2 linked regions of the Tamandua tetradactyla genome follow. The protein of the gene in region 1 purifies or fractionates together with the protein of each later gene. This does not show direct contact. Links are inferred from orthologs where the notes say so. Each region holds a gene or a part of one and is shown on either strand. Other genes may lie near its edges.

The links.
Region 2: the proteins of NOP2 (region 1) and NOP56 fractionate together in Homo sapiens (co-fractionation; 3 studies listed by BioGRID and IntAct, with this or other methods). This does not show direct contact. The link is inferred for Tamandua tetradactyla from reciprocal best matches to the Homo sapiens genes NOP2 and NOP56.

What each region holds. Positions count from the first base shown.
Region 1 is NC_135333.1:68,856,614-68,863,865, reverse strand, and holds the start of NOP2 (28S rRNA (cytosine(4447)-C(5))-methyltransferase), read left to right. Parts: upstream 1-4,202; 5' UTR 4,203-4,316; intron 4,317-4,556; 5' UTR 4,557-4,560; coding exon 4,561-4,666; intron 4,667-4,753; coding exon 4,754-4,804; intron 4,805-5,707; coding exon 5,708-5,753; intron 5,754-5,924; coding exon 5,925-6,013; intron 6,014-6,195; coding exon 6,196-6,428; intron 6,429-7,252. Other genes in the region: CHD4 (chromodomain-helicase-DNA-binding protein 4), read left to right, coding at 1,498-1,693, 2,439-2,602, 2,773-2,790. UniProt on the Homo sapiens protein: S-adenosyl-L-methionine-dependent methyltransferase that specifically methylates the C(5) position of cytosine 4447 in 28S rRNA. Required for efficient rRNA processing and 60S ribosomal subunit biogenesis.
Region 2 is NC_135327.1:24,397,289-24,404,744, forward strand, and holds the start of NOP56 (nucleolar protein 56), read left to right. Parts: upstream 1-4,370; 5' UTR 4,371-4,385; coding exon 4,386-4,502; intron 4,503-4,883; coding exon 4,884-4,998; intron 4,999-5,553; exon of another isoform or gene 5,554-5,623; intron 5,624-5,742; coding exon 5,743-5,904; intron 5,905-6,056; coding exon 6,057-6,255; intron 6,256-6,370; exon of another isoform or gene 6,371-6,502; intron 6,503-6,639; coding exon 6,640-6,827; intron 6,828-6,913; coding exon 6,914-7,065; intron 7,066-7,237; coding exon 7,238-7,338; intron 7,339-7,400; exon of another isoform or gene 7,401-7,456. UniProt on the Homo sapiens protein: Involved in the early to middle stages of 60S ribosomal subunit biogenesis. Required for the biogenesis of box C/D snoRNAs such U3, U8 and U14 snoRNAs. Part of the small subunit (SSU) processome, first precursor of the small eukaryotic ribosomal subunit.

The DNA.
Region 1 (7,252 bases):
TTCAAGACAGGAAGAGGGAGTTGTTAGCAAAAGAGGTGGCTGGTTTGTTGCAGATAAATTAGTAGGCACTGATGGGACCAGGCCTTGTGGAAGAAACAAAAGTCTATTATTCTCAGGACATCCCTTTCCTCATTTTCTTGAAGAATCAGTGGGTATTTAAGAACTAATTTAAAAACCAGCAATTTTGCTGCTTGGAACATATTTCAAAGATCTCCTCAGCTTAATCAGGCATTTAATTTTTGGTGGTGGGGACCTAGAAGCGACCTAGATGACTGACATTGGGGGCGTAAATAGGTGTTATGTAGATTCACATCACAGCATTAGGCAACAGTTAAAAGCTCCAAAATATATATGCATGTAACAGCATAAATGAGCTTTTAAAAAAGGTATATAATGAGCAAAACAGCATTTTATATGTACAGAACAGCATTCTGTAAACTAGAAATGTGTGTATGAAACAATAATACCCAATTTTGAAGAATATACACAAAATGACACAACGTAAGTATATTAGAAGGGTTGCCCGTCAAAGACCAAGTTCTCGTGACTGAAGGAGAATGGAGTGAGATACGGGGATAAAAGAAAAAAAGTTTTATTATTTTTAATTTTTATAAACTACTTTTAAAAAGAGTAAAACAAAAATTATATGGTAGGTTTATCTATAAGGTGGACTACTATGCAAGAGTAGTTTTTTTTGAAGTAGTTTATTTTGAAAAGTAGTTGACAAAGGAAGATGCACAATACAGAATTTTTGAGTGAAAACATGATACAGATATTTATGTGATCTCAATTATGTAAAAGACATACAGGCATGGGTGTTGGTTAGCTGATGGCTGGGGGTAAGTGGCCGTACTGAGTCAGTCACACAGACACACAGCACACAGCACATGACTCAGGAGACAACCCTCAGGGGTGAGTGGAAGGTGTCCGCTTTATTGAGGAAGTGCACAGGCTTATATAGGCTGGGAGCATGCAGGGACACGTGTCGGGCTAGGATTGATCACCGTTGTTGCTAGGGTGGAGGGCGGATTTCTGGGATTGGCGCTTTTGGTGCAAACCACCACTAGTTCCGGGAGGAAAGCCGGTCGCGGGCTAGGCCATTTTGTGTTGCCTTGCATCAACCACGGCAGCCATGTTGGCAAATTATGACATCTCCGTCACATGGGAAAATCTGGAAAGAAAAACAAAATGTTTACATATTTGTAGGAGGTGGGACCATGTATAATTTTAATTCTTTCTACATTCTGTATTTTCTCAATTGGGTTTTTATCCTTACTGTGTGAGATTCAATAAGAGACCCCCCTTCCCCCCCCCCAAAAAAAGAAAAGGCAATGTAATGTTGAACAGCTTGGGTGTAGATCCACCCATGAAGTTCTTTATCGGATTTTATTATATGGAGGAAGAAGGCAAGTCCACTAGGTGAGGCCGAAAGGCCCATCAGAAATAAGCCAAGTGAATGTCGGTCCAACTCCCCTCTCCTTTTCATCCCTTGTCCAGCTCTTGGAACAAGCCCTGGTGATTGAGGAACAGTTGCGCCGGGCAGCTTACCTGAACATGTCAGAGGACCCCTCTCACCCTTCCATGGCCCTAAATACCCGTTTTGCTGAGGTGGAGTGTTTGGCAGAGAGTCATCAGCATCTGTCCAAGGAGTCAATGGCAGGAAACAAACCAGCCAATGCAGTCCTGCACAAAGGTAGCCAGTGGCTCCCCTGCCTCCTGCTGGTTCAGCCTCCTCCCCACTCCACCCCTCCATAACACTTACATACTTCTTTCCCAAACTTCTTAGGGGGTCCCTTTGTCTGGAAGGGTAGGATGTGCGGTGGGTCTTTACCTTCCTCCTTGGAAAGGAAGCTTCTATTTTAGAGGCAGTCAAGACAGCAATTCGTAGCCTTTTAACTTTGAAATATGTTCATGTTTTTGGAGGTAGAAGGCAAAGCAGAATAATGTGTCATCTGGGATACTTTAGAGGTAATGTTAGGTAATTTAAGATCCCTTGACATTCTAGGCCCCTTTCCACATTTTGTCCCTAATTAAAATAAAACTCTGCAAAGAGGGTAGATGGTGAAATGAAGAAAAAGGTTTTTTGTTTTTGTTTTTTTTTAAATATAAAGGGAGTGGGGGGCAGATCTAGAAGGTGGAGGGAGAGGAAAGACAAGAATGAGAAAGGAGATGAATACGCTCTTGAGAAGTGGAAGAGGCAAGGGAAAATAAGGATTTAGGTTACTTTAAAAAGCACAGAATCGTGGAATAGGAGGAATAGGAATAGGAGCATGTTGGAGGCCATTTCTTGTGACTGATAAAAGACAGACCACGCTCCAAGAGTCTAGCACATCACAGGTACTTGGTCATTAAGAAGTGATGGGGGGCTGGTCCACTGTGGTGGAAGGATATGAGTCTTGACCACCACAGCTCACCACCTCTTTTTTTTCCTCCTGCAGTTCTGAAACAGCTGGAAGAACTGCTGAGTGACATGAAAGCCGATGTGACTCGACTCCCAGCTACCATTGCCCGAATTCCCCCAGTTGCTGTGAGGCTACAGATGTCAGAGCGTAACATTCTCAGCCGCCTGGCAAACCGGGCACCTGAACCTCCCCCACAGCAGGTAGGGCCATTTTCTGCTTCTGGCCAGTTCTTCCAGCAGAACTATTCTGGAACTTGTAATATTGCACTATGTTCCTAGCTTTACATGCTGGGCAGGCGGGGTTGTCTATCAGGGAATTCCCTTAACTGTTGTGGGCTGGAATTCTGACTTCCTTGGCTCTTTCCCTACAGGTAGCCCAGCAGCAGTGAAGATCCAGATTGATGATACCACCTCCACCGCTGAGCAGTGACCTTCCTCTTTCCCTTGTCCCAGCTTCTCTCCTGGGGGCCTGAGAGACTCTCCTTCCTTCTGTCCCATCGTCCATGTTGTAAAGAAACAGCCCCCCAACCCTGGGGGAGGGGGAGGGAGTGAGGGGCAGTGGTGCCCTTCCTGCTGGAGAGACATGCAGCAGTAGCGCCGGCGCCATCTGCAGGGAGCTGGTGGGCTGGCCCTCTGGGCCCTGGCTTCTCCCCGCTGTAAAGCTGTAACGTCTGTTACACACAAAACTGTTGGTGGGTTCCCGCCAGGCTTGAAGAAAATGATCTGAATTTCTTCCTCCTTTTGGTTTTATTTTGTTGGTTTAATTTGTGTTTTCTTTTAATCCTTTTTGGGGTATTCAGAGTGGGCCGGGCCCCTGGGTGAGACACAGCTACCTCTGTTGGCATCTTTTTAATACCAGGAACCCAGCGGCTCCAGCCACTGAGCGGCTAGAACGAAATAAAGTGAAAAATTAAAATAAAAAAAAAAAAGCATAAAAAAAACAGCAAATTTCTTGATGAAAATAAAAATTTCCTTGTATTTTAGTGCTCTGGTTCAGTGTGGGTGTAGGTGCAGGTGGATGAGTGTGTATGACAGGAGTCCTGGGAAATGAAACTAGATACTACCTTGTGTCTGTGGGCAAAGCCAGGTGTGCTCCCAACCAAGGGTGTCTCAACCTGTGGAAAGTGAGCCTTCCAAACTGCCTGGGCCTCTGCCCTGCACTGCTTAGTGGCTCTGACCTTGAGCATGTTCTTTAATTACTGAGCTACGAACTTATCACAGATAAAATAAGGACAGCTTCCTCATAAAATGGCAGGGATTACACCAGTAAGGTGCCTGGAACAGTTTTTGACGCCTACCAAGCACTACCTCACTGTCTATTTGAAGCCAGGTGGAAGGAGGTTCCTGTGGTCAACTTTTGCGGAACTAGGATGCAAATTTTTTCCTAGGCACTGGGAAACCTTACCTGAGTGGGGCTAAGTAGGAGTCTGTGGGGTGTACAAGGAAGAAGGTTTCCTAATCAGAAGTTTGGGGGATGGAGATTAAGTGGCCTGCAGGTTCTATGATCTTGAGGCTGGACGTAGGGCGGTCGGTGGGATGTTGCGGGAGAGTTACAGCCTGGTTCGAGGGCTACTTTTTTTACTTTAAATCTGTCGTGAGGCCAAAAGTCATCGCCGGGAGGGTGGATCGGGGGAGCTGAGAGCGGCTCGGTCCCCATTCCCGCCTCCCTCGGGAGCTATATGTGGGGCGGAATGCTTCCATACCTCCCCGGCGAGTTCGCAAAGCGGACGCAGGATCCGGACCCGCCGCCACAGCCGAACAGTAACCGGAAGGGGCGGGGCCATGAGGCGAGTGCGGCCTGTGCGCCTGCGCGGGACTTTTCCGTGGAGTGGGTGGTCCGAAAGCTAGCTCGGGAGTGCACGTGGAGTGTGGCACGGGGGGCCGAGGGGCAGCTTAGGCCTCGTCCGGCTTTCGGGTGAGCAAAGGGTGTGTTTGGAGGCAGTCGGGGGAAGAAGGGTGGCAGCGCTGACCTGGACTGGTGTGTGGGACCCCAGTTCCGGGTCTTAGGGTGGGTGGCGGTTAGTTGGGTCTCAAAAGGCTGTCCGGGGCTCCGAGCCGAGATTCTGGTCGAGGTGGTGCTCTGTTCCTGCGCTAATTCCTGAGCATGCGTTCCTCTTGCAACGCGCCATTCCGCCTTCGATTTTTTTCCCTCCAGTATCATGGGGCGCAAGTTGGACCCTACGAAGAAGGAGAAGCGCGGGCCGGGCCGAAAGGCCCGTAAACAGAAAGGTGCCGAGACAGAGCTCGCCAGATTCTTGCCTGCAGGTAAGGGTCAATCAGGGTCAATCCTGGCTCCCCTCCAGCTCCTGGATTTTGCTCTTATCTATCAATAACAGCCTCCCTTGTTTTTAGCCTCTTCACTTTCCGTTCAAGTGAAACCTTCTCTGTATGATTTATTGGAAAGTAAGTATGAACGAAATATTTGTCAGTATGATTAAAATTTAGAACTTACGGGAGATGCCACGAGTACACAAGTACCCATGCAAGGAGAGGTGCATTTTAACAACGTGGGAGTTCACAGGAAGGGAAATCCCAGGCAGTTAGGGAATTACAAAATATTTTTTTTGCTAAGGAGCTAGGTTTTGAAAAATGGTTAGCATTTGGCAAGTGGGAAGGGACAAGCCAGTCACTGTGAGCTGGATTGTGGAAGAAATGGAGATTGATTTTTACCGTGGTGGATTGGTGGATAGTCTGCTTGAGTGCCGCGGGGCAGACTGGTGGGAGGGCAGACTGGAAGGTAGTTTATTTGGGGCTTTGTATAAACGATAAAGATTCCTAAGGTATTACCAAATGCCTGGCACCATACCAAACCCATTAGACATAGTGATATCATTTCATCCTGCCTGTGAGGGCAGCCCTATTGTCTTGATTAACAGTTGAAAAAGTAGAAACTGAGAGTTTAAGTGACTTGTGTAGTTATTAAATGACATGGTCAAAAATTAAATTTTTTATTTCTTGGAGAATTATGAAAAATAGTTGTGAAAAAATCTATTGTATTTGGTAACTGATTACATAGAGAGTAAAAGAAAGGGCAAAAGAAAAGATAAATTTTGAATCTGGGTTGTTATGAGAATGATGATGTTTGTTATTAGAACCTGAAGTCTGAAGGGAGACCCAGTTTGAATTTCGTTGATGAACAGCCAGATGAGTGCTTAGTTTCTTTTTATCCAGCTTCTGGCAGAGTACTGTGGAGTGAGTTACAGTCTACTCCCTTTCATTAGTGTAAGTTTTCTTCCTGTCTTTACTTTCTCCCCCACTTCTTTTCTTTTCCCCTGTATCCTCCTATTCTGCCTCTATTTTTTACAGCTGGTGATGAAAATTCCAAGAGGTTGTCTAGTCGTGCTCGAAAGAGGTGAGTGTGGGTGTTCAGATTTACATAGATTAAACTGATGCTGCTCATATTTAGCCATATGGAATAGGCTGATGAGCAGGACTGATTTGGGACTCGCTGCTTTGAATCTGTGATGGGGAATGGCAGAGCCTGCAGGTGTATTCCCGTTTCCTCACCCATATATCTTTCCAGGGCAGCCAAGAGGAGGTTGGGCTCTGCTCAAGCCCTTGAGATGAATAAGTCTCTTAGGGCTAAACCATTGCCTGGAAAGCTGCCAAAAGGTTAGTGAAAATAGGTGGGTGCTATGTGAGGGTTCTCTGGGTCTTTGGCCAGCAGTTCTGGGAGAAAGGAACAGTCAGGAGGATATTTTTAGGGGAAAGTCCAGGATCCAGGGGTTGTGGGACAAGGAAGTGTGTGACTACCATCAGTCTAGGATTCTTTAAATGCTTAGAAATCTCTGCAGGAGCTGTCCAGACACCTGGTAAGAAGGCAGCCCAGTCCTTATACAGCACTGCTCAGGGCAAGAAGTGTCGGGCACCATCCCATAGCAGTGATGATGAGGAGGAGAAGGAAGACCCTGAGGAAGATGGGGAAGTGACCCAGGGGGACCTCTGGGGCTCTGAGGACAGTGACAGTGATACCAACATGGTAGATGATTATGGAGCTGATTCCAGCTCAGAGGAGCAAGATGAAGAGGTGAGATTCAGTGGATATTGAGTAAGGTATCCTTGCCTCTTGGTTTCTTTCCAGATCTTGTTGCTATTCCTCTGTGACAAGGATAAACCTTACTAGAGAAGAAGGATTTTAGTGCTTTCTCATTCTTTCTCTACTACCTGACATTCTCAGTGCATGAGCAGGTTTAGAAGAGCTATTGAATAGAAACTTTACAAAGGAGAGAGTGCTCAGTGATGGTGAGGATGTGGTAAGGTGAGCACCTGTGTGTGCCACTGATGGGAATGGAAATACATGCAGACTTTTAAGGTTTGTTATCTAGGAACTTTAAAAAGTTTCTTCCTTTTGACCTGATTAGGAAGATAACCCAAAATGTAGGCAGGTTTATGTGATGTGTAAAAGGTTATTTACCCTCTTACACAATTAATATTAGGAAAATTCAAACATGATAGAGCTCTGTGGAGTAGAAAAGGAAAGCCCTCATTTGTACGCCTCCCACAGCCTCCTTCTTTCTTGTTCTTTTTTTTTTAATTTTTATTAATAAAACCAATCAACATATGAACATTCTTTTTTTATCACATAGTTGTATATTTACCATCATGATCATTTCTTAGAATATTTGCATCAATTCAGAAAAAGAAATAAAAAGAAAACAGAAAAAAAATTCATACATACCATACCCCTTACCCCTCCCTTTCATTGATCCCTAGCATTTCAATCTACTACATTTATTTTAACATTTGTTCCCCCTATTATTTATTTATTTTTAATCCATATGTTTTACTCATCTGTTCATAAGGTAGATAAAAGAAGCATCAGACACAAGGTTTTCACATCACACAGTCACA
Region 2 (7,456 bases), on another chromosome or scaffold:
TTCTGGGAACACTGAATCCATTATCACTTCAAATAGAGTGCTTCCTCCTTTTTTCCTTCCTGACTTCTGAGCTCCAATCAGGGCAGAAATTATAGCCTCTCATTCCATAGCACCTCCTTATCTCAGGAAAAATGGCTCCACAACATCTTTCAGTCTGCTAATGGTCTCTTCAGTTGTACCTAATTTATTAATGAGCCATTTGCATTTCTTTAATTTCAACAATGGGAGTTTTCATGTCCACACATTTCATGTCTGTTCATTTCTGCTTGCTCCCTTGATTGTGGCAGAGATAAAGCTGCATGCTTCTACAACAGAGGTCAGCAAACGTTTTCCATGAAGCATCAGATGGTAAATACTTTAGGTTTTATGGACCAAATATAGTATCTATCACTTATTCTTTTTTTTTTTAATAATCTTTTAAAAATGTAAAGCTCAATGAAAAAAACAGGCCACAGGTTGGATTTGACCCCTAGTCGATAGTTCGTTGACCTGTGCTCTAGAAAAAAAATCACACACTTCATGTGATACAACTGTCAGTAAGGCAGAGGAAAGCTAGTACAGTATTAGTAAGGGAAGTGTTGAAATGAAAGTCCCTCTGGTTGTGAGCCTGGTGCTGTAGCCTACAGGTGCAGGCAAGTGATCCTAGAGACCTCACAGGCCTCACTGGAGATACCTGAGTGCTCATACAGCATGGAAGCAGTGGAGGCCTGCAGAGAGGGCACCTGGAGCTTGGAGAGTCTGAGCATCCAGCTGGCATTGGCCTATCTCAGAAAACATAGTGCACACGTCCGGGAACCAGTCCAAAGCAGCCATCCCTGAGCAAGGGTAAATGGGCTCCTAGGACATGGCACTAGAAACTGAGCATGAATAACTGAGGCCTCCCCCACATTCCTTTGCAATTGGAGAGTTGGTCTCATAAGCCCTCTTGCTATTCTGAGAGGAGCAGGGGAAGAGAGAGGATTTCTAAACAACTCTTACCTTAACAAGACTTCATACCAGATGTTGCTGGTAACCAACAATTGTCATTTACACATCGAACATGTTTTCCAGGTTCTGACAACATTTAATCAGGGTAACAGTAAACTGTCTGTTGCCACAAGAAATTGAAAAAGGAATATATAACTGTTTTAATACATAAAACTAGAGTTGTCTAGAGAGGAAGTGTCCATATGCAGAAGGCAAGGCTGAAGTGATGGGAATGAATCAGAGCAGGAGGGGGTATCAAAAATGGAGACAGATGAGAATTGGGACTCAGCTGACAACAGGTAACACGAAATGTGTATGCATTTATCAATAAAAGGGGCAAAAGAATGAGGCAAAAGAAGACCCCTAACATTTTTTGAGCTCCTCCTACCTGAGGCACCATGCCTATAGGAGAAGTTCAGTAAATATTTGCTGAAGGGGTGAATAAACTCTCCATTTTCATTCTTCAGAAGAAGTGAAAGTTCAGGGAAAATAAGTAACTAAATTAACGTCACCAGGCTTTGAAGCCAAACCTACTGACTCAGTTTTGTACTTACTGTTGCTTAACAAGCCATCTCTAAACTATTGGCATAAAACCACAATATATTATATCTCAGAATTCTGTAGGTTCTGGGAGCTCAACTAGACAGTTCTGCTGTTCTCGTTTGGGGTCTCTCATGTTGCTCAAGTCAGATGACAGTTGGGGCTGGAATATCAAAACCCACAAGTCCAGGGCCTTGGCCTGGATGGTGGAGAGTTGGAATACACTGGGAAAGGTGGACCTCCGTCTGTTTCCACATGGTTTCTCCAGCAGAGTAACCAAAGTTCTTATAAAGCAACTAAAGGCTTCCAAGAATGCAAATGGCTGAGGCCTGGAACAGGCCCAGAATCCCTTCTGCTGCATTCTGTTAAAGTGTCACACAGCAGCCAGGTAAATGTGTGTGTGTGTGTGTGTGTGTGTGTGTGTGTGTGTGTGTGTGTGTGTGTGTGTGTGTGTGTGGAGTGGGGTACAAAACTAACGACATGATACCAGGAGGTATGGATGGCTGGTAACCTTCTTTGGAGACTGGTGACTATAGGTGATGCTGTGAAACCAAGGCCTTTAATCTCTCCGTTACTTCAAGCCAAGATGTGCAGCCACAAATAGCACCTAATTGGATATTCTGCCTAGAAAGATCAACTCTGGCAGTGACGAGGAAGGTAGCATGCAGAAGGGGAGACCAAAAACTTTGTAAAAATCCACTTTCCTTGTAAGGACCCAACCTAGACAAGGAGCAAACAGCCCAAGAGAAGGGACAGTTACTTTCTAACATCAGGGGAGGGCCAGGTGCCAGGGAGAGAAAAAGGAAGTCAAAGGAATATTTTATTTTGGCATTTACCCACATTCCCATTTACCTGTAAGCATTTGTATCATACTAGTTGAAGTACATTTTTCTATATTTATCTCTTTAAATCAGCAAACTACTTCAGCAACAGGTAGTTTGTAACCAGAAAACTTGAGTATAACTAGTTAACTTTCACCTCAGTGGATGACTCAGATTGTTCATATCATGACTTAATACACAGAAATGTATGTGTCTGTATGTAGATATGTATGTATACCCACACACACACTCAGAAGTTTGACAAACTACTATCTTTTATCCTACATGGCATACCCTATTTTCTAATCTCTTTAATCCTGATTCTGTTGTTGTTTAAATGGCTGTTGCTAACTAAATTAATTCTATGTCCATGAATGGATTCTGCTTCTGATTTGAAAATCCCTGCCTTACAGGAAAAACAGTAACACCAGGAAGATTTAGAATTAACTATGGAAATAAGGAAGTAAATCCAAATGATGGCCTTAATATTTTTCATTATGTTTTAGAATCATTATTGGTATTTTGCATATTTACGTTTAGAATTTAATGTACTGAAGTATGTAATAGATAATTTCACGGTTCCCCTTTTAAAATGAGAAATGGAATAACTGATTCAGACTTGCCATCATAAATTGCTATGCACACAGAATTTAACCGTGCTTGTAAGCAATATTGAGATTTTTAAGAGATAAGATAAACCAAACATTTTTTCAGTGTAATGTATTAGATTTATAAGTGAGGTAATTCTTGGGTTGTTTAACAAGTAACTGAATTGCTTAAGAAAACAAAACATTACATTTATAAATGCAGTTTATAGTTATTGGAATCCAAGTTATAAAAATCCCTCGGGCAGACCACAGTGGCTCAGCAGGCAGAGTTCTTGCCTGCCATGCCAGAGATTCGGATTCGATTCCCGGTGCCTGTCCATGCAAAAAAATTAAATAAATAAATAAAAATCCCTTTAAAATGACCATTCTAAATTTACCAGGAAACCTACTACTTCAGGATAATCAGGTTTGGGATTCAAAACTCTAATATTAATTATTAAAGCCAAAGTAACTTCAAAGTGGTCTTCCATGTGTCCAAAAGCCGCCCTGGAGGACAGGGCAGCAGCTCCAACTCACTTAGGTCTGCGTGAGTGTTAAGAGTGTAACGCAGTTAGGAGCGTCCATGTGAGCGAGCAACACGTGGCCCGCAAAGAGCAGAGTCTAGGGAGTAGGAAACCGGCCTGGGAACACGTGGTGGCACTTTTCTTTACTACTTGATTAATCATCAATTCCATTTTAAAAATGAAAAGAAAAAAAAAACCCAAAAAACACGAAAGCCACGAGGAATATAAGTTTCCTGCAGGGTCTGCTCCCGTGTGTCTCAGACCTCCAATCCAGAGAAGGAGGAAAAGGGCGCGGCGGCCCACGGGGCTCCTGAAGGGTTCGCCCCCGCGCGGAAGGCCGGTACCAGGGGTTCGGGGGACTCGAGGTGGAGTGAGGGGTCCGGAGCCCTAAGTCACCGCGATGAGGGCAAATCTCCTGCCTGGGCTGATCGCCGCTCCCCACGCAGTGCCTCCCACACGGACTTCACCAAGCTCTGCTGCACCTAACATAAATGATGAAAACTCGAAAACTAGGGCTATTATCCACAGAAACCCTTTTGCAAAGCGCTTTGGAGGGCTTTGGAGCCGACCAGGTCGGCGCGTCCCCAGCAACCCTGCCGCCAGCGCCACAGTAGGGGGCCGGAAAAGGCCGGCACTTTAGCGCTCCGCACCACCCCACTCCGGAAGATACCACCTCTGCGGACCCGGACCCTTCCGAAGGCTCGAAAATGGTACCGTCCCCTCTCTCTGATTGGCCAACGAGCCGAAGGCGTGACTTCCGAAGCTGTTTCCGCGCGCCAGAGCCCGCTCGCCGCATTGCGAGCCGGGCAAGGAGCGGGCGCCATGGTGAGGAGTGGTTGCGGGTTGCGGGCTAGGCGAAGGCCGTGGCCTGGGCTCGGACTCGATTACGGGACTGGGCTGGGGCCTGCCCGGGGAGCAGGGGCCGAGCGGGCGCGTGGCCTGCGCTGATGCTCGCGCCCCGGCTCCTGTTCCAGGTGCTGCTGCACGTGCTGTTCGAGCACGCGGTCGGCTACGCGCTGTTGGCGCTGAAGGAGGTGGAGGAGATCAGTCTGTTGCTGCCTCAGGTGGGTGGAATCAGTGGGTCCGCACGGCACAAGTGGATAACCCGCGGCGATGAGCGCCCAGCGCGGGTCCCAGCATGCACCGCGCGCTCCCACGTGGCCGCCGCGCGTGTTAGGGGTAGATCCTGGGCCTGGAAAGCTCGAGAGTCGGGGGTCCTCACCTTGATTTATGACCGCAGTCATTTTAGGAGCTTTAACAAATAAACTTTACTCTCTCTTGGTACCGATTGAGGCAGAAACGCAGGCAGTGGGGCTGATGCATCGTTATATTTTAAAAGCTTTCCAGTTCTTAAGTGCATCCAGGGCTGAAAACTTCTGCTTTACTGCAATTTAGAAGCTTGAACGAGAGAAGGAAACCGTTCATCTGTTTGTTCGTACCCCCAGGTAGAGGAGTGCGTGCTCAACCTGGGCAAGTTCCACAACATCGTTCGTCTTGTGGCCTTTTCTCCCTTCTCCTCTTCCCAAGCTGCCTTAGAAAATGCCAATGCTGTGTCTGAAGGTGAGCTGGTCACCCCAAAGTATTTTAGGGGAAATAATGGAAATGTGGTTCCTGCCACCATTTATCCTTGCAGGGTGCTTAGCAATAGTACTTGCGTTTCGTCGGTTACTTTGTTCTAGAACTGGGATGTACGGAATATAATTTAAAAATAGCTGTCTCCATAGAACTCAAACTTTGAGGTACTTGATGGACGAAATGCTTTCATATTTAAAACTTGCAATGCAGAATGTAATTTTTCGTTGTGGGCACTGGAATGGTAATTCTTAACCGAAATCTTGTGGGAAGGGCAGGTTTAAAACCACTTATGCTCCAGTTTTGACTAAACCCAGTCAAGTGGTCTGGTTTCCTTTTAGATCCTTTATTTGACTGGAAGAGACAGTTCTGGTCCCAGGAGATCAATGAGGTTCTGGATACTTTTGTCATGTTTGAGGCTATGTTTTAAGCTAAGTTTTTGATACTTGTATCATGTTTGAGGTTATGTTTTAAGCTTAGTTATATATTTCATACTTGTGCTGTTGGACGTAGGTCCTGTTCCTCCCACCATTAAGCCAGGCTTTGCAGTGATGACTTGTGAGTCTGTCAATCCCCTGAGTTTAGACACTGAAGTCTCCATGTCTCTGAGCAATGCCGGAAGGAGGAACAGAGGGTGTCTCTAGCATTAAATCAGTATTTATGAGGGTCAGGGTCCTTATACCTGAAGCATCCTTCATCACGTTAGTGGGAGCTATGTTCTTTGCCCCCAAGGCGTTGTTCATGAGGATCTTCGCCTGCTCTTGGAGACCCACCTGCCATCTAAAAAGAAGAAAGTACTTTTGGGGGTTGGGGACCCCAAGATTGGTGCTGCTATACAAGAGGAGTTAGGGTACAACTGCCAGACTGGAGGTGTGATAGCCGAGATCTTGCGAGGTGAGACCCATCTCTTTTATACTCACACATTCTTTGACCTCTTTGAGGGTGGGGATGTTTATGGTTGCTTCTAGGAAGCCCCATGGTTGATTCCCATGGGTGCAGGAGCTAGCTCAGATGCCTTCCTTGCTCACAGTCCTTCCCTTCTCCAGGAGTTCGCCTGCACTTCCATAATCTGGTGAAGGGTCTGACCGATCTATCTGCTTGTAAAGCACAACTGGGGCTGGGACACAGCTATTCTCGTGCCAAAGTTAAGTTTAATGTGAACCGAGTGGACAACATGATCATCCAGTCCATTAGCCTCTTGGACCAGCTGGATAAAGACATCAACACCTTCTCTATGCGCGTCAGGTAAGGAGTAGGGATGACCCCTGAGATTGGGGTCTTTAGCCTGTGATTTCACTAATTTTGAATCCTGTGATGAGGATTAGCAGCTCCTGTGGGTAGAACAGGTGGGGTGGGGCTGGACCTCCTGGTGCTTACCACAGGCTGTGTTCTTGCACTGACTGTATAGAAAGAGGAGGCAGAGTAAACCCACCCCATCTACACCACAGCCCAGGCCTTGTGCTTGGTCTGTATTGTGAATGGGGGGACATGGAGTTGAGAAGGGGCTTGGACCCTGGCTGGACCCATTTCCTACAGACAAACAGTCAATGTGGAAATAGCTGAGGGTCTGGTTTTACTGTTTATGAGACATGGCAGCTGGACCCAGGAGATAGCTATCGCTCTTTGCAGGGAATGGTATGGATACCACTTTCCGGAGCTGGTAAAGGTTGTCAATGACAATGCCACATACTGCCGCCTTGCCCAATTCATTGGAAACCGAAGAGAACTGAATGAAGACAAATTGGAGAAATTAGAGGAGCTGACGATGGATGGCGCAAAGGCCAAGGCTATATTGGATGCCTCACGGTCCTCCATGGGTCAGTACAGCAGAACCCAGCAGCCAGGTGTAAAGTAATTGGGTCTTGAATATCTGGCTCTCATATTCACACATAATATTTCCTAGGCATGGACATATCTGCTATCGATTTGATAAACATCGAGAGCTTCTCCAGCCGTGTGGTGTCTTTGTCAGAATACCGCCAGAGCCTACATGCTTACCTGCGATCCAAGATGAGCCAAGTGGCCCCTAGCCTGTCGGCCCTCATTGGGGAAGCGGTGCGTCAGGGTGAATACCAAACGGGGAGAATTGGGATGTTACCATGCTTGTCTGCACTGCTACATTTTCTGACCCACCATATCTTCCCCATGGGAATGTGAGCAGGGGTTTATACAATTCATAGACAGGCAGTTTCCACTTCTCTGACCTTTTCCTCAAATTTTTCTTCAGGTAGGTGCACGTCTTATTGCTCATGCTGGCAGCCTCACCAACCTGGCCAAGTACCCAGCATCCACAGTACAGATCCTTGGGGCTGAAAAGGCCCTGTTCAGGTACCAGTGAGGGTACCTGCCCAAACTCAGGTGCCACTTCTGGTGCCCACTGCTTGTTTTGGGATCACAGTGATGGCTGACCGGGGCTCCCCTGACCTGTGCAGGCCTCTGCTATGGG